3 linked regions of the Rattus norvegicus genome follow. The main gene of each other region encodes a partner of the protein of the gene in region 2 in a complex. Links are inferred from orthologs where the notes say so. Each region holds a gene or a part of one and is shown on either strand. Other genes may lie near its edges.

Evidence for each region.
Region 1: the proteins of Rpa1 (region 2) and Helb are in contact, whole or in part, in a crystal structure (PDB 7XV1), measured with the Homo sapiens proteins. The link is inferred for Rattus norvegicus from reciprocal best matches to the Homo sapiens genes RPA1 and HELB. Residues at the interface, in NP_002936.1 of Homo sapiens: Asn29, Ile30, Arg31, Ile33, Arg41, Arg43, Leu44, Leu45, Ser54, Ser55, Met57, Ala59, Thr60, Gln61, Arg81, Ile83, Asn85, Leu87, Arg91, Val93, Ile95, Met97, Glu120; in NP_001357214.1 of Homo sapiens: Glu496, Glu499, Val500, Lys502, Ala503, Cys504, Asp506, Phe507, Glu508, Asp510, Asn512, Ala513, Glu516, Trp517, Thr519.
Region 3: the proteins of Rpa1 (region 2) and Rad9a are in contact, whole or in part, in a crystal structure (PDB 8JZY), measured with the Homo sapiens proteins. The link is inferred for Rattus norvegicus from reciprocal best matches to the Homo sapiens genes RPA1 and RAD9A. Residues at the interface, in NP_002936.1 of Homo sapiens: Asn29, Arg31, Ile33, Arg41, Arg43, Leu44, Leu45, Ser54, Ser55, Phe56, Met57, Asn85, Leu87, Lys88, Asp89, Arg91, Val93; in NP_004575.1 of Homo sapiens: Asp297, Phe298, Ala299, Asn300, Asp301, Asp302, Ile303, Asp304, Tyr306, Met307, Ile308, Met310.

Annotation. Positions count from the first base shown.
Region 1 is NC_086025.1:57,484,052-57,488,139, forward strand, and holds part of Helb (DNA helicase B), read right to left. Parts: intron 3,815-4,088; coding exon 3,660-3,814; intron 770-3,659; coding exon 679-769; intron 2-678; coding exon 1-1.
Region 2 is NC_086028.1:60,656,691-60,660,778, forward strand, and holds part of Rpa1 (replication protein A 70 kDa DNA-binding subunit), read right to left. Parts: intron 3,678-4,088; coding exon 3,609-3,677; intron 3,485-3,608; coding exon 3,292-3,484; intron 3,148-3,291; coding exon 3,008-3,147; intron 2,694-3,007; coding exon 2,545-2,693; intron 559-2,544; coding exon 426-558; intron 1-425. UniProt on the Homo sapiens protein: As part of the heterotrimeric replication protein A complex (RPA/RP-A), binds and stabilizes single-stranded DNA intermediates that form during DNA replication or upon DNA stress.
Region 3 is NC_086019.1:210,922,394-210,926,581, reverse strand, and holds the start of Rad9a (RAD9 checkpoint clamp component A), read left to right. Parts: upstream 1-1,420; 5' UTR 1,421-1,507; coding exon 1,508-1,541; intron 1,542-1,623; coding exon 1,624-1,694; intron 1,695-2,129; coding exon 2,130-2,258; intron 2,259-2,529; coding exon of another isoform or gene 2,530-2,621; coding exon 2,622-2,736; intron 2,737-2,817; coding exon 2,818-2,917; intron 2,918-4,188. UniProt on the Homo sapiens protein: Component of the 9-1-1 cell-cycle checkpoint response complex that plays a major role in DNA repair. The 9-1-1 complex is recruited to DNA lesion upon damage by the RAD17-replication factor C (RFC) clamp loader complex.

The sequences.
Region 1 (4,088 bases), on a different chromosome or scaffold from region 2:
CCTGAAACACACGAAAATCAGAGTCACGTCAACACCACACACTGTACACCGGCTTATGTTTACAGACAATCATATACTGGGCAGTGGATTGTTTAACTTGTTGTTGTGATACTGAGAATTGAACTGAGGGCTCTGTGCTTCCTAGACAAGCATGCTAGCACTCACACCCCTGCTGACAGAGCAGATCCCATAAGGAGTTTCTAGAACTTTCTCTAGGAAAAAGTATTTTTTGTTGTTACTATTTCTTTCTTTTTTTTTTTTTTTTTTTTTTGTTTTTGTTTTATCAAAGCAGAGTCTCTCTGTGTAGTCCTGGTCATCCTGGAACTCGCTCTGCAGACCAGGCTGGCCTGGAACTCAGAGATCCGCCTCCCTCTGCCTCCCAAGTACAAGGGTTGAAGGTGGGGACCACCTCGCCCAGCTGGAGAAAAACTATTTTATAATTTTTAACCTTCAAATAAAATTTCGTTTCACTGGCACTTCCAATGAAAATATAAGCATACTTGACAGAAAGCAGCCCCGTTCAGAATACCTTCTGATGTGTCTAATAAAAAGATACTTTGAGGAATGAGAAGAAATAATGAGAAATTACATGCATCTCCCCCTAAATACAATGTACATTAATAACTTACGAAGTTTAAGAGTTGGACAAAGTACATTAACACATTATAAACATTTTACCTTCTAAATGCAATAAATTGCGATGTTTTTGCACTTTCAGGACTGCAGAAGTCCTTCCCTTGAAGCAAAGTTTTAACTGCAGAATATAAATCTGGCAAAGAGAAAAAGGTTAACAGAAAAATTGCCAAATTATAATGCTATTTCTATGGGGAAATTGGCTAGCAATTCCTACTAAGCAGTAGGTAAAACACCTCACCACGTGCAATACAAGGTCACCACGGGAACGCCTACGTCATCCCTGACATGCGCCATAACAGTGGCAAGACCATGGAGACCAGGTTTCAGCCCCTGAGGTACTGGTTGTAGTCCGTCAGAGTTGGAAATCCATCAGCACATACTCATGAAGTATTATCATATGGGGAGCTGGTGCACACCAGATTGCAATACTGAGATACTGCCGCACTGGCTCAAAAGTGCCCAGTGGCCTAACAGCACAGTGCCTCACTCACCTCAGCTTTCTCTTTCCTCCCCTGACCCAACCTCCCACAATTCAGCCACTAACAAAATACCATCATGACAGGCATATACCATTATGTCCAGCTCACTACCCCAGGTTTGGTTGGTTTTCATAGTTGTTGTTTTATAGATAGGGTCTAGCCTGGTCTATATGAGAGAGGCTAGGGGATAGGAGTTCAAGGTCAGCCTCAGCTATACAGCAAATTCAATGGCAGCCCAGGCAACATGAGGTCCTGTCTCAAGACAAAAGGCGGAGGGAGATAGGAACACTGCAGGGTTTTGTGTATCATCTAGGAGCCGGTGAACTATGGAGTACTGTGGTGCTCTGTTCTAGAAAGACAGAGTCAGCTGATCACAGTCACTTCATTTCTTCAATGAAGACACTCTCCAGAAAATAGCTGACCTCAGGTCTCTGAACCCAGTCAACCAGAGCAGAAGTTTCCAGAGGTCTCCCACTCTCCACCTCCTCTTCCTCTCTGTCTCACAGGTCCAAGGCACTGGGCATTTTATTCTACAGTAACGTTTTAGCATCTCTGAAACTCTGGCCATTATGGGTCCTATCTTGGGTCCCTGCACTTTGTAACAATGGATAAAATTTACTACACCATTTATTAATAAAAAAGTGCTATTTGCCTCTGTCAGGACTAGTTACCCGATTTTCCTAAGGAAGAAGCTGATTTTCCCACAAATTTTTTAATTAAAACAGAGAATCAGCTAAGCGCCACTCACACTCTGAAACAGACAACTTGTTTTTCTTTTGAAAGTACATTTTAATGAGCTGGTCGTGACAGCACCAGCTACCCCATGGACTAGGGAGGGGGAGACAGAAGAATTAGGAGTTCAAAGTCAGCTTGAGAAGACCCTGGCTCACTCAAACAAAAGGCACAATCTCTTTAATATACAGAACGGGTCCCAAGATAAACAATGCTTGAGGTATACTGTAGAGAGTCGCAAAGAGAGCGAGCTACGAAGAGTCTGTATCTGCTTTTCTCATAAACATCAGCTGTCATATGTAGTTCAAACCAGCTCACGAGATATGCATCTTCTTATCCAATTTATAGAAAGCTAAAAGGAACGATGAGGTCAGGCATGCGCACAGTCGAAGACAGACTTGGGTGGTTTGGAAGCTTCGTGCCATGCATGGTAAGGAACTATGGGACAACTACAATAGATCCTCAGAAGATTGGCAACTAAATAATGATAGTAATAATGATGATAATAATAATAATAATAATAAATCCTCAGAAGAATCATTTAAATCATTACTAATCATTACCAAACCCTTAAACTATGCTTCAAGCTTGCTAAGTCAGTTTTAAAATCTAAATCAAGACCAAAAGAACCCCTCTACTGTTCTGTTTCCTTCTCTATTGCTGTAATAAAACACCAGAAGCAATGTAGGCGGATGTATCTGGCTTATAGGACATATTCCATCACTGAAGGAAGTCAGAGTCAGAATCCAAGAAGGATCTTGAAGCAGGCACCATGAAGCAATCCTGCCTGCTGGCTCAGTTGGTTCTTGCTTAGCTAGCTTTCTTATACAGCCCAAGAATAGCTACATTGGGATTGTGCCGCCCGCAGTGGCTACAGTGGGCTGGGCCCTCCCACATCAGTGAGTCGTCAAGACAAACCCCTGACAGACACGCCCACCTGCCAACTGATCTGGGTGATGCCTCAATTGAAAAGTCCCTTCTCAGAGACTCTAGGCTGTGTCAACCAAGACAATTATACTCAAATATAACTATTTTTAATAACCAATTTAATGATATTTATTAGTACTTACACAGTGGTTCTTAACATGGATGCCCCTCCCCTAGCTCCACAGGCACCAAAATCCTGACTCTTATTTCACACGTGGTGAAGCGCTTAAGAGACCTGTCCCATGCCCCTTCTCAACCCTGGCGGGCTAACATTGTGATACCCCAAATTACATGTGGTGTTAACAGTAACCACAGTGTCACCAATGTCCTCGAAGAAAAGAACAGGGATTTTCATTAAATAAAACTCAACTTTCTCCTGAAGAGACTTGGATTGCTCTGTAAACAAAATCCTCTCTGGCCACTTACCGACTCTTCGAGTATTTAATGAGAGTCCTTACACTGTCTCAAGAACTTCCTCACGAACTACTAGGACAGTGGTTCTCAACCTGTGGGTCACAATCCCTTCGAGGAGGTCAAACAACCCTTTCATAGGGGTCTTGGGAGGCCACAGAAAACAGTCATTTACATTACAATTCGCAACAGTAGTAAGATTACAATTACAGTTATGAAGTAGCAACGGAAATGATTTTATGGTTGGGGTCACCACAACATGAGGAACTGAACTAACGGGTCGCAGTGTTAGGGAGGTTGAAAACGACTGCTCTAGAGTAACCTGCTTTTGAGGATTCTCCAGTTGTTTTATTTCTAGTACTCCATCTTTCACGGGCAAGACCTACCTTTAGCCTCGAACAATACACAGCTAGTCGTTTGATAGCAATATTACAAAACCGAAATACTTCCATGCAAGCCAACATAAACACCTACCAGCTTGGTGTTTGCCTTTAGACGACTGAGAACTGCTGTCCTCTTCAGGGAGTCTCACGAAAATGAATGTCTTATCTTGAATGGAGTTGGGTAATGTGGAATTATCAGAGATGTTTATTTCTGCATCAAATTCTGGAAACTGACGTCTGGAGATTCTTAAGGAAAAAAAACATATGTGCAAGGCACGTGTAAATAGTTGGGGTGTATGTGCACATGTGCATACACGCAGGTGGTTGTGGAGACTAGAAGTCAACTTCGGTTGTTTCACAAAGGCCATCTACCTTCTATTTTGAGCAGGGTTTCTTACTCACCTGGAACTTGCTAAATAGGCTAGGCTAGCTGGCCCTACTATCTATATCTATCTATATCTATATTATGTCTATATCTATATCTGTGTCTAGATATAGATGATATAGTTATATATATAAT
Region 2 (4,088 bases):
CATCCAAGAGAACGCAGGTTAGACCAGGTAGGAAGAGGATCACTAAGAACACATTTAAATGGAAGCTGCAACGGAAATGGAATACCAGAGCCAGCCCATGGCAGGGCGGCAGCATGAGAACGGTCTGTTCAAAATCCAACATGGACCTGAGGCCGGCACACACTATCCTGCAAAGCCTGGTTATCACCACCTCCTCAGTATCCAAGAGCTCTCCACACCAGTCCTGCCTCACACCAGCGGCTACAATACATCCCCCGGCACGCATGGTCTCTACACCGGCCATGACTGAAGAGCAGTAACATGGTGCTCTGGAGCGGGCCTCTGGGGTCCCAGTAAGAGCACAGCCCTGAACCAGCACCAGACAACGGGTATAAAGCTCAGCCCTGGCGTTTTCTAGGCCTCTGTGGAGTAAGGGTGTGAGGTACCTTGTCGCCCTGGCCCAGGTTCTCGGATTTAGCTTCATACAAAGTTTTCCAGTTGGTGTTGCTCCCTCCGGTCCCTCCACTCCTGAGATCAGAGATGGAAACTCCATCTAAGGCTTGTCCTTCTGAGTCAAACCTAGGGAGAAAAAAGATATTGCTGATAGGAACTTTACATCCTTCTCAAATGTGTTGTTTGAATACACCAGCTACAAGCTCTGTCCCTCAGCTCTCACCTGGGTCCCAGCACACCCAGTCCACTAAAGAAACGAAATGCCAAAGTACCACAGACCCCTGCTCCAAACTGACAGCCATGAACAAAGTCGGCAACAGCAGGCAACACTGGCAGTCCCCCAGACTTCGAGCCTTCACCCCAATCACCAAAATGCATCAGATGAAAAGGGACATTTTTGTTTAATGAGTCTGCCAAAAATGTTTTCATGGGAGAAAATCTTTTAAGCCTAATCAGTTATAGAATTCAATGTACTTCATCAGAAGGCATTATCTGCTGTGTTAGAGATCTGCATTCTCAGCGAGGATTTGTTTATGGAAATATCAAGGTTAAATTCATTTATATGAAATTATTATTAAAATTGATTATACTTCTTGACCATCTATTGGCTAATCTGAAGGAAACGAGGCCAGGGAGAAGGTAGCAAGGACAGGGTAGTGGCAGAGAACAGTGTGCCTGAGATTAAAGACGCCATCAACTATATGAGTGGTAGGTAATTAAAGCTCCCCCCACAGGACTGACTCCCTAAAAAGAGACTACCCAACAGAGTGGCTGCTGCCCTAGGCCACAATCACCTTCTCATTCTGTCAGGTAAGCAGCCACATCCACCAGAGGACAAGGTCCATAAATCTGTTTCACCACAACTAGCCACACAAGTTTAAGGCTTCAAAAACTTCACACAGGCATTTGCCACCAAAGACAGCTCATAAGGAGTCAACAGAGCCAGGAGACAGGCAGCCGCTCTTACAGTAAAAATCCGCTCTGTCAGTGCCAGGATCTAAACATCTCCAATCCTTGTCTGGGTGGGGTGTGTGCACTGAACTCGTAGATCAATGACGGTATTCTGTTCAGGGGACAGACATGCCTGTTTGTGTTTTCTGTGATCACAGTTACTGACAGTGAAATATTAACTCCTTAATGCGGGCACACAATTAACCTGGAGTTGTGCTCAGAGCCTGGGAGGGAAACCAACCAACGAACTAGACCAATACCATGGTTGTCTCTGGTCATCCTAGGGAATTGTCATACGATGCAATGCTAGCTATCAGCAGTTACACAGACGGACCGACACCACTGAGCATGACATGTGACAGACACCCCAGACGCTCTAAGTATTAATTATTGTTATTGGTTTATATCAGACTCAAAACAAAAACGAGGAGTATGAAATATGAGCTCTTTTTCTCGAGTCCCCTAAACTCTAAGGCACAGCTGGAAACCATACATGTCCACCCTGTGACTACAGCTATTCAGTTTCCTTAAGCTCGGGTTAGGTAAATTACTTTCACCACCTCGATCCTCCCACACGACACTCTGAGGATGGAGTGCTCTTCCAAGGCAGAGTTTAATGCCTTAAAAAGCTCGGTATGGTGTGGAGATTCTAACAAGCTCTCCTCATCCCTTGAGTGCCTTGGGACTAACAATGTAAAGGCAACAAAGAGCCCATTGTTCTCACTGTGCAACAGCCGAGTCAGTGACTGCACAACAGAAGATGTGACCAGCTCCAGAGCCTCACCAGAGTAAGACGGTACATTCTACCCCCACATCAGCTGCCCACAGCGCAAACCGGAGATGCTCTCAGCACTGCTCTCCAGCACGCAGCTGTTAAAACCTTGTCTACCTGGTGGGATCAAGGTCAGCACGCAGCACTTAAGTTCTAATTGCTTTCTCTGACTCTCTAGGTTCATCAGGGGATCGTGGGCTTGTCGGTGTAAGAGGGCTTTCAGGCCACCATCTCCGAAGACATAATGCCTCCAAGAAATATAGGAACCACTTCACTCAATAGCAAAGGCTTGGCAAAAATAGCTTGGCAGAAGCCCACATGCTGACACTATCTAGCTCTCACCAAAGCCTGAACACAAATAACCCCTTAGCTGAGTTCCAAAAACCTACCATCCACGGAGCTTATAGGCCTCTGGGATGTCAGGATTCACAAGGACAGTGCTAGATGATAGGACAGAGAGGCTCCGCCCACCAAAGTCGGACACTCGGGCTCCTTTGATGGCCATCACAGGCTGCCTAGAACCGTCAAACTTGTCAGCCTGCAAAGCAAACACAAACATCATCGGCAAGAACAATGTACCGGATGGTTTTATGGAGAACAGTCAACGAATACAGGGTGAATACAGACAGACTCAGACTCAAGAATCTGCTTAGACTTTGAGGGAAGCTAATCTGTCTCTATATTCCTGAGTGAGCCAGAGTAAGGAGCACTGCACTATGGGAAGCTGCAATCATCTCATACAAGTGGAGGACTTCAAATGCTTGCTGGACAGCACTACTCTCTGAGCTAAAGTCCCACAGCTCAGGAAGACGAGAACCCCACCCCAGGGTTCTGCTCAGTGCAAGGACTCACGTCTTCTCCCCACAGCGTCGCAGTCACCACTTTCCCTGACATGTCCATCAAACAGATATTTCTCTTAGCAACTTCTCTGTTGTTAGACTTCACTGTGATTTTAGTCGCATCTTCATAGCTCTTGCAGATTCCAATTATGTCTGAAACAAAGAACACTTTGTAACAGCTCTCATCAAGGATCCTCTTAAAACATGGCCAAGGGATGAAAGGCAAGCACGCTAGTTGCGATCACCCCAAACACTGGAGACAAAATCACCTCTCTCTACCCTCACCCCTGGACGCACCTACAAGTGAGTCTTTAGACTTGCTCTCTAGGTCACCGATCCCTGTGAAGTCAAACTGAACTGTGGGTAAGTGATGGCCATCTTCGCAGGGAAGGACAGACGTCTCATTATTGAAGGTCATCTCATAGTCATTTTTAACAGCTGAGAACTGTTTGTTAGCGATTTTCAGAGTGCCCTTGGAGAAGTAATACACCTGCAAGAGAGGCCAAGTCAGGGACGCTAGTCAGCCATCAAACCCGTCCCCACGATGCAGCTTTCCGACTGTGCTCATGGCCCTCACTGTTCAGCTTGTCAGCTCAGACTCCACACTGTCTTACCTTGTTCACTTCAATAAGGGGAAAGAACTTGTCCACCTGCTCATTGAAAGCCGTAGCTCTGATTTCACCCTGCAAAAGCAAGGGAGAGCACATCACAACTGCATTGCTTGGCCCTCGCTCTGAACAGCGAGAGCAGGCCATTTTGACAATTAGCATCTTTGGAGCAACAGCCCAAGTATCAAGAGACCCTCCCAGGGCTGCACACATCCCAGAAACCCACACGCAGTTAACACTTTGAAGCCATCAGCTCTGGTAAAACAAGAGAGGCTCAGCTACTTCAGATACCTGATATATATATATATATATATATATATATATATGTATGTATGTATGTATGTATGTATGTATGTATGTATGTATGTATCTCCATCCATCCCTATGGTTACGACTTAACCATCCATGTTAAAACATACAGTAAGGAAGCTTGTAAGATAGTTTGGTAGATAAGGTGCTTACTGTGCAAATCTGGCCACCCTAGTT
Region 3 (4,188 bases), on a different chromosome or scaffold from region 2:
GCCACAACAGCAGGGAGCACAAGTATTAAACACAGGAAAACTGATAGGCACCATGGAGTGTTCTGTGCCGAGGGAATCTTTGCTGTTGAGCCTAGGAAGAGAAGCCAGCATGGGAAAAGCAGGCCACAGCCTTGGAAGCAGCCAGAGTGACAGCCAAGGGCCTGACAGGACTTTGGAGATAGGTGATCAGAGGTAGGATACAGTGAAGACATGTGGGACCTGGATCCTGAAAGTTCCAGATTAAGAGACCAGACTTTGGAGAGTTAAGCTGGTGGAGGCAGATCGCTGAGGACAGTGGAGACAAGGAGGGCCACTTTGCCGTCTGTTTGGTAACAAAGTAATCAGAATCCACTGAAGAACTGATCAGATGAGGAGGAGAGGATGCTAACAGCTAACTCCAGTCTAACAGTGAACTGGACGCCTCTATGTTGCTCACACTGGTTGCCTTGGATGTGGAATGGGAAAGCAGTCTCCTCCCCGGAGGCTTTAAGAAAGGAGAAGCTAGAGAGGGAGAGGAGCCTAAAAAAGAGGAGTTAGATAACTAATACAGACTTCCCGTTAACCCACAGGACACAGCAGGGAAATGCAAGTGTTGCTCTAGGCTGTTCTTTTCACACTTGAAGTAACTAAAACCCAGAGAAAGTTGAATGCATCCCAGCTGATAGCCCTCATCCTTGACACTGTCTGGGTAATTGGTAACGTGTACACAAACTACGTGTAGTGCTTAAGCCTTTCCACGACTTCCCAGTTCATCCCTTCAGCCCTGACGGGCTCAAGGCTCGGGACACTCCACCCAGCCATATGGTCCTACCCCATTGTGCCTCTGCTTCTGACAGACCCATCCTTCTACCCTTTTCTGTCCCAGAACCTTCTGATCTTTCCGTGTATTTATGAAGGTCAGTGAAGGATCCTGAAATCAGAATGAACAGCCTCTTTTCATGGTTCTTGAAGCAAGTTACGTTAATTTTTTTTTTTTTTTTTTTTTTTGAGGGGAGCTGGTGGTTGCTGCCACAACAGAATCATCCCTGGCCCTGATTGAGCGCGAACTTTCCTTGACCCTGTAACCCCACACACTAAAGTTAGTGACTCCAGAGGGTCTACTCTTCCCATGTTCGGACTCTGGTCCAGAACTCGATCCTTGGTGCAGGCACCTTGCTCCTCGGAACTGCATCTAATGTGGGAGCCCGGTGGAGCAGCAGAACTCTGCAGGGTGGGAAAGCCAGACCCGATGAAGGACGCAGGAGCGCTCCCTCCGTAGTCACGTGACCCAGGCCACACCCAAGGAAACGACTGAATCACGTGGCGCCGAGCTTAGGAACGTTTTTCTCACGTGACGGAGGAACCCCGGGTGGACCAATAAGGAAGCGGAGGCCAGGCTGGCGGCGGGGAGGGGACGGTGCGCGGGAAGAGAACTTTAGGCATTCCTAGTAGCTGCTGGGACTCGTTGTGGGTTGTATCCCGTCCCGGTCTGGTTGTAAAACAAGCTCGGCCTCAGTGTTTATGTACCATGAAGTGCCTGATCACTGGGGGCAACGTGAAGGGTAAGTTTAGACCTGCTTTGCAGCAGACCATGTGAGCAAGCCCCTGGAGTCCCCCTAACCACTTTCTGCTCTCCTTCCGTAGTGCTGGGAAAGGCTGTCCATTCGCTATCCCGAATCGGGGACGAGCTCTATCTGGAACCCTTGAAGGACGGGGTAAGAGACTGGGACGCAGGGATGGGGGCCGATTCAATGGCGAGTGGGGAGCCTAGGCTTGGCGTTCACTCGGCCTTACAGGGTGATGGTGGACAGGTATTTCGGCTCAGTTTATTTCCTCTTGAGTTGTTGGGACATCAGCTTGGGCCCTGTCTTCTGAGGCTGCATGTGTATACAGAGGGCACTTAACTCTTCCTAGAGCGCCTTGTGGCAGGCAAGGTGGGGCTAAAGTAACTTAAGGGAAAAACAAGCATGGCAGACCCTGAGCCGCGGAAGACTGGGAGATCTACATGCAAGAAGGTCTTGCCACACAGAAAGGGAAGGGGAGTTTCATTAGGAAGCGATGGAAGAGAACTGCCGCTGGATGAAATGCAGGGCATTTAGTGAGCCTGACGTGGCCCCTGACTATTATCTTCCCTGCTTTTTGTGCCTCAGCTCTCCCTACGGACTGTGAACTCTTCCCGTTCTGCCTATGCCTGCTTCCTCTTTGCCCCCCTCTTCTTCCAGCAATACCAGGAAGCTTCCCCTGGTCAGGATCTGCTGCGCTGTAAGATCCTGATGAAGGTAAGGACCACCTGAAGCATCCACAGCTGTGCCTGTGTCAGGTACTCAGTAAATGATGACTAGGGAGTTAGTCTCATATGGGAGCTAGTCCATGCAAAATGCAGTGAGGTCGAGATGTTTAGACTCTAGAGGGTTATAAGAGCACTGGAGAGGGTGGTGACATTCAGGTTGGTCAAGAAAAGTTTAGCAGCCCTTCCCAGCAAAGAGAACAGCATGGACAAGCCTGGTAATGTGCAGACATCCTGCATGCAGTGGGAGCCCCCTTTCACAGCTTTGTTGGGCCAGTGATGGACCAGGGCCTACATGGGATGTAGAGCTGGTCCATGGAAGCAGAGTGCCAGGCCGATGTCCTACCCTGCCCAGTCCTTCCTGTCCGTCTTCCGCTCTCTGGCAACGGTGGAGAAGACTGTGGAGAAGTGCTGCATCTCCCTCAGTGGCAGCAACAGCCACCTGGTGGTCCAGCTTCACTGCAAATATGGTGAGCAGGCAGCTGGCCAGCTAAGAGTGGGGGAGTGGAGTGAAGGCTGTCAAGCCCACTGAGACCATTTCCCCTATCCAGGGGTCAAGAAGACACACAACCTCTCCTTCCAGGACTGTGAATCCCTGCAGGCTGTCTTCGACCCAGCCTCATGCCCCCACTTACTCCGCACCCCAGCACGGTGAGCATGCCTGCTTCGGACTTCACCTGAGTCTCTCCCACCTTTGGGGCCTTAAGTGTTATTCTAGGATATCTCACTCTCAGAATGAGATGAGGATGGCGAGTGGGGAACCTAGGCTTGGCGTTCACTCGGCCTTACAGGGTGATGGTGGACAGGTATTTCGGCTCAGTTTATTTCCTCTTGAGTTGTTGGGACATCAGCTTGGGCCCTGTCTTCTGAGGCTGCATGTGTATACAGAGGGCACTTAACTCTTCCTAGAGCGCCTTGTGGCAGCAAGGTGGGGCTTCCCACCTCTGGATGGAGGTGGGAAGGTCAGAAGTTTCAAGGCCAGTGAGTTTCTAGGCTAGCCTAGGTATTATGAGACAGTCTCAAAAAAGGGTGCATATGCTGGGGAGATAACTCAGTAAATGTGTGATGTACAAGCATGGGTGCCTGTTCCGAGTCCTCGCTTAGATAAGAATGTGTAATGTCAGTTGGCCGGCGGTGCACGCCTTTAATCCCAGCACTTAGCAAGGCAGTGGTTTTCTGTGAGGACAGCCTGGTCTACAAAGCAAGTTGCAGGCAGGCAGGCAGGCAAGCAGGGCTACAGAGAGAAACCCTGTCTTTAAAAAAAGGAACCAAACCAAACACCAAGATGGGCAGCACCTGAGAAGCAGCAGCACTGAGCATGTCTTCTGCCCTCTGCCCATGCACGTTCACACAACACAAAAGCACCTTTGCCTCTAAGGCGGAAACTCGGGGTTTCTGTGTCAAGGCCACACATCGCTTACCTTGCTCTTCAAGAACAGAAGCTGCTGTCTCTCGCCATTCCCACTGACTGTGGGTCCTGCCTTGTGTATCCCAGAGGCCTGCTCTGCTTGTCTAGAGAGAACCTATGACCTGCCTGCAGATCTCTTTTTTTTTTTTTAAACATTTATTATGTATACATCACACAGCTTTCTGCCTGCATGTATGCCTGCAGGCCAGAAGAGGGCACCAGACCTGATTGTAGATGGTTGTGAGCCACCATGTGGTTGCTGGGAATTGATCTCAGGACCTCCGGAAGAGCAGACAGTGCTCTTAACCTCTGAGCCATCTCTCCAGCCCCCTGCAGATCTCTTGTATGACCTGAATAACCCTGACAGCCTGTCCTTGACCCTGTGTCACAGTTTCAAAGCCCTCTGACCTCTCACTCTTCTGGTAGTGTCCCTCTTTTTTTTTTTTTTTTAAGATTTATTTATTTAATGTATGAGTATACTGTCCCTATCTTCAGACACATTAGAAGAGGGCAT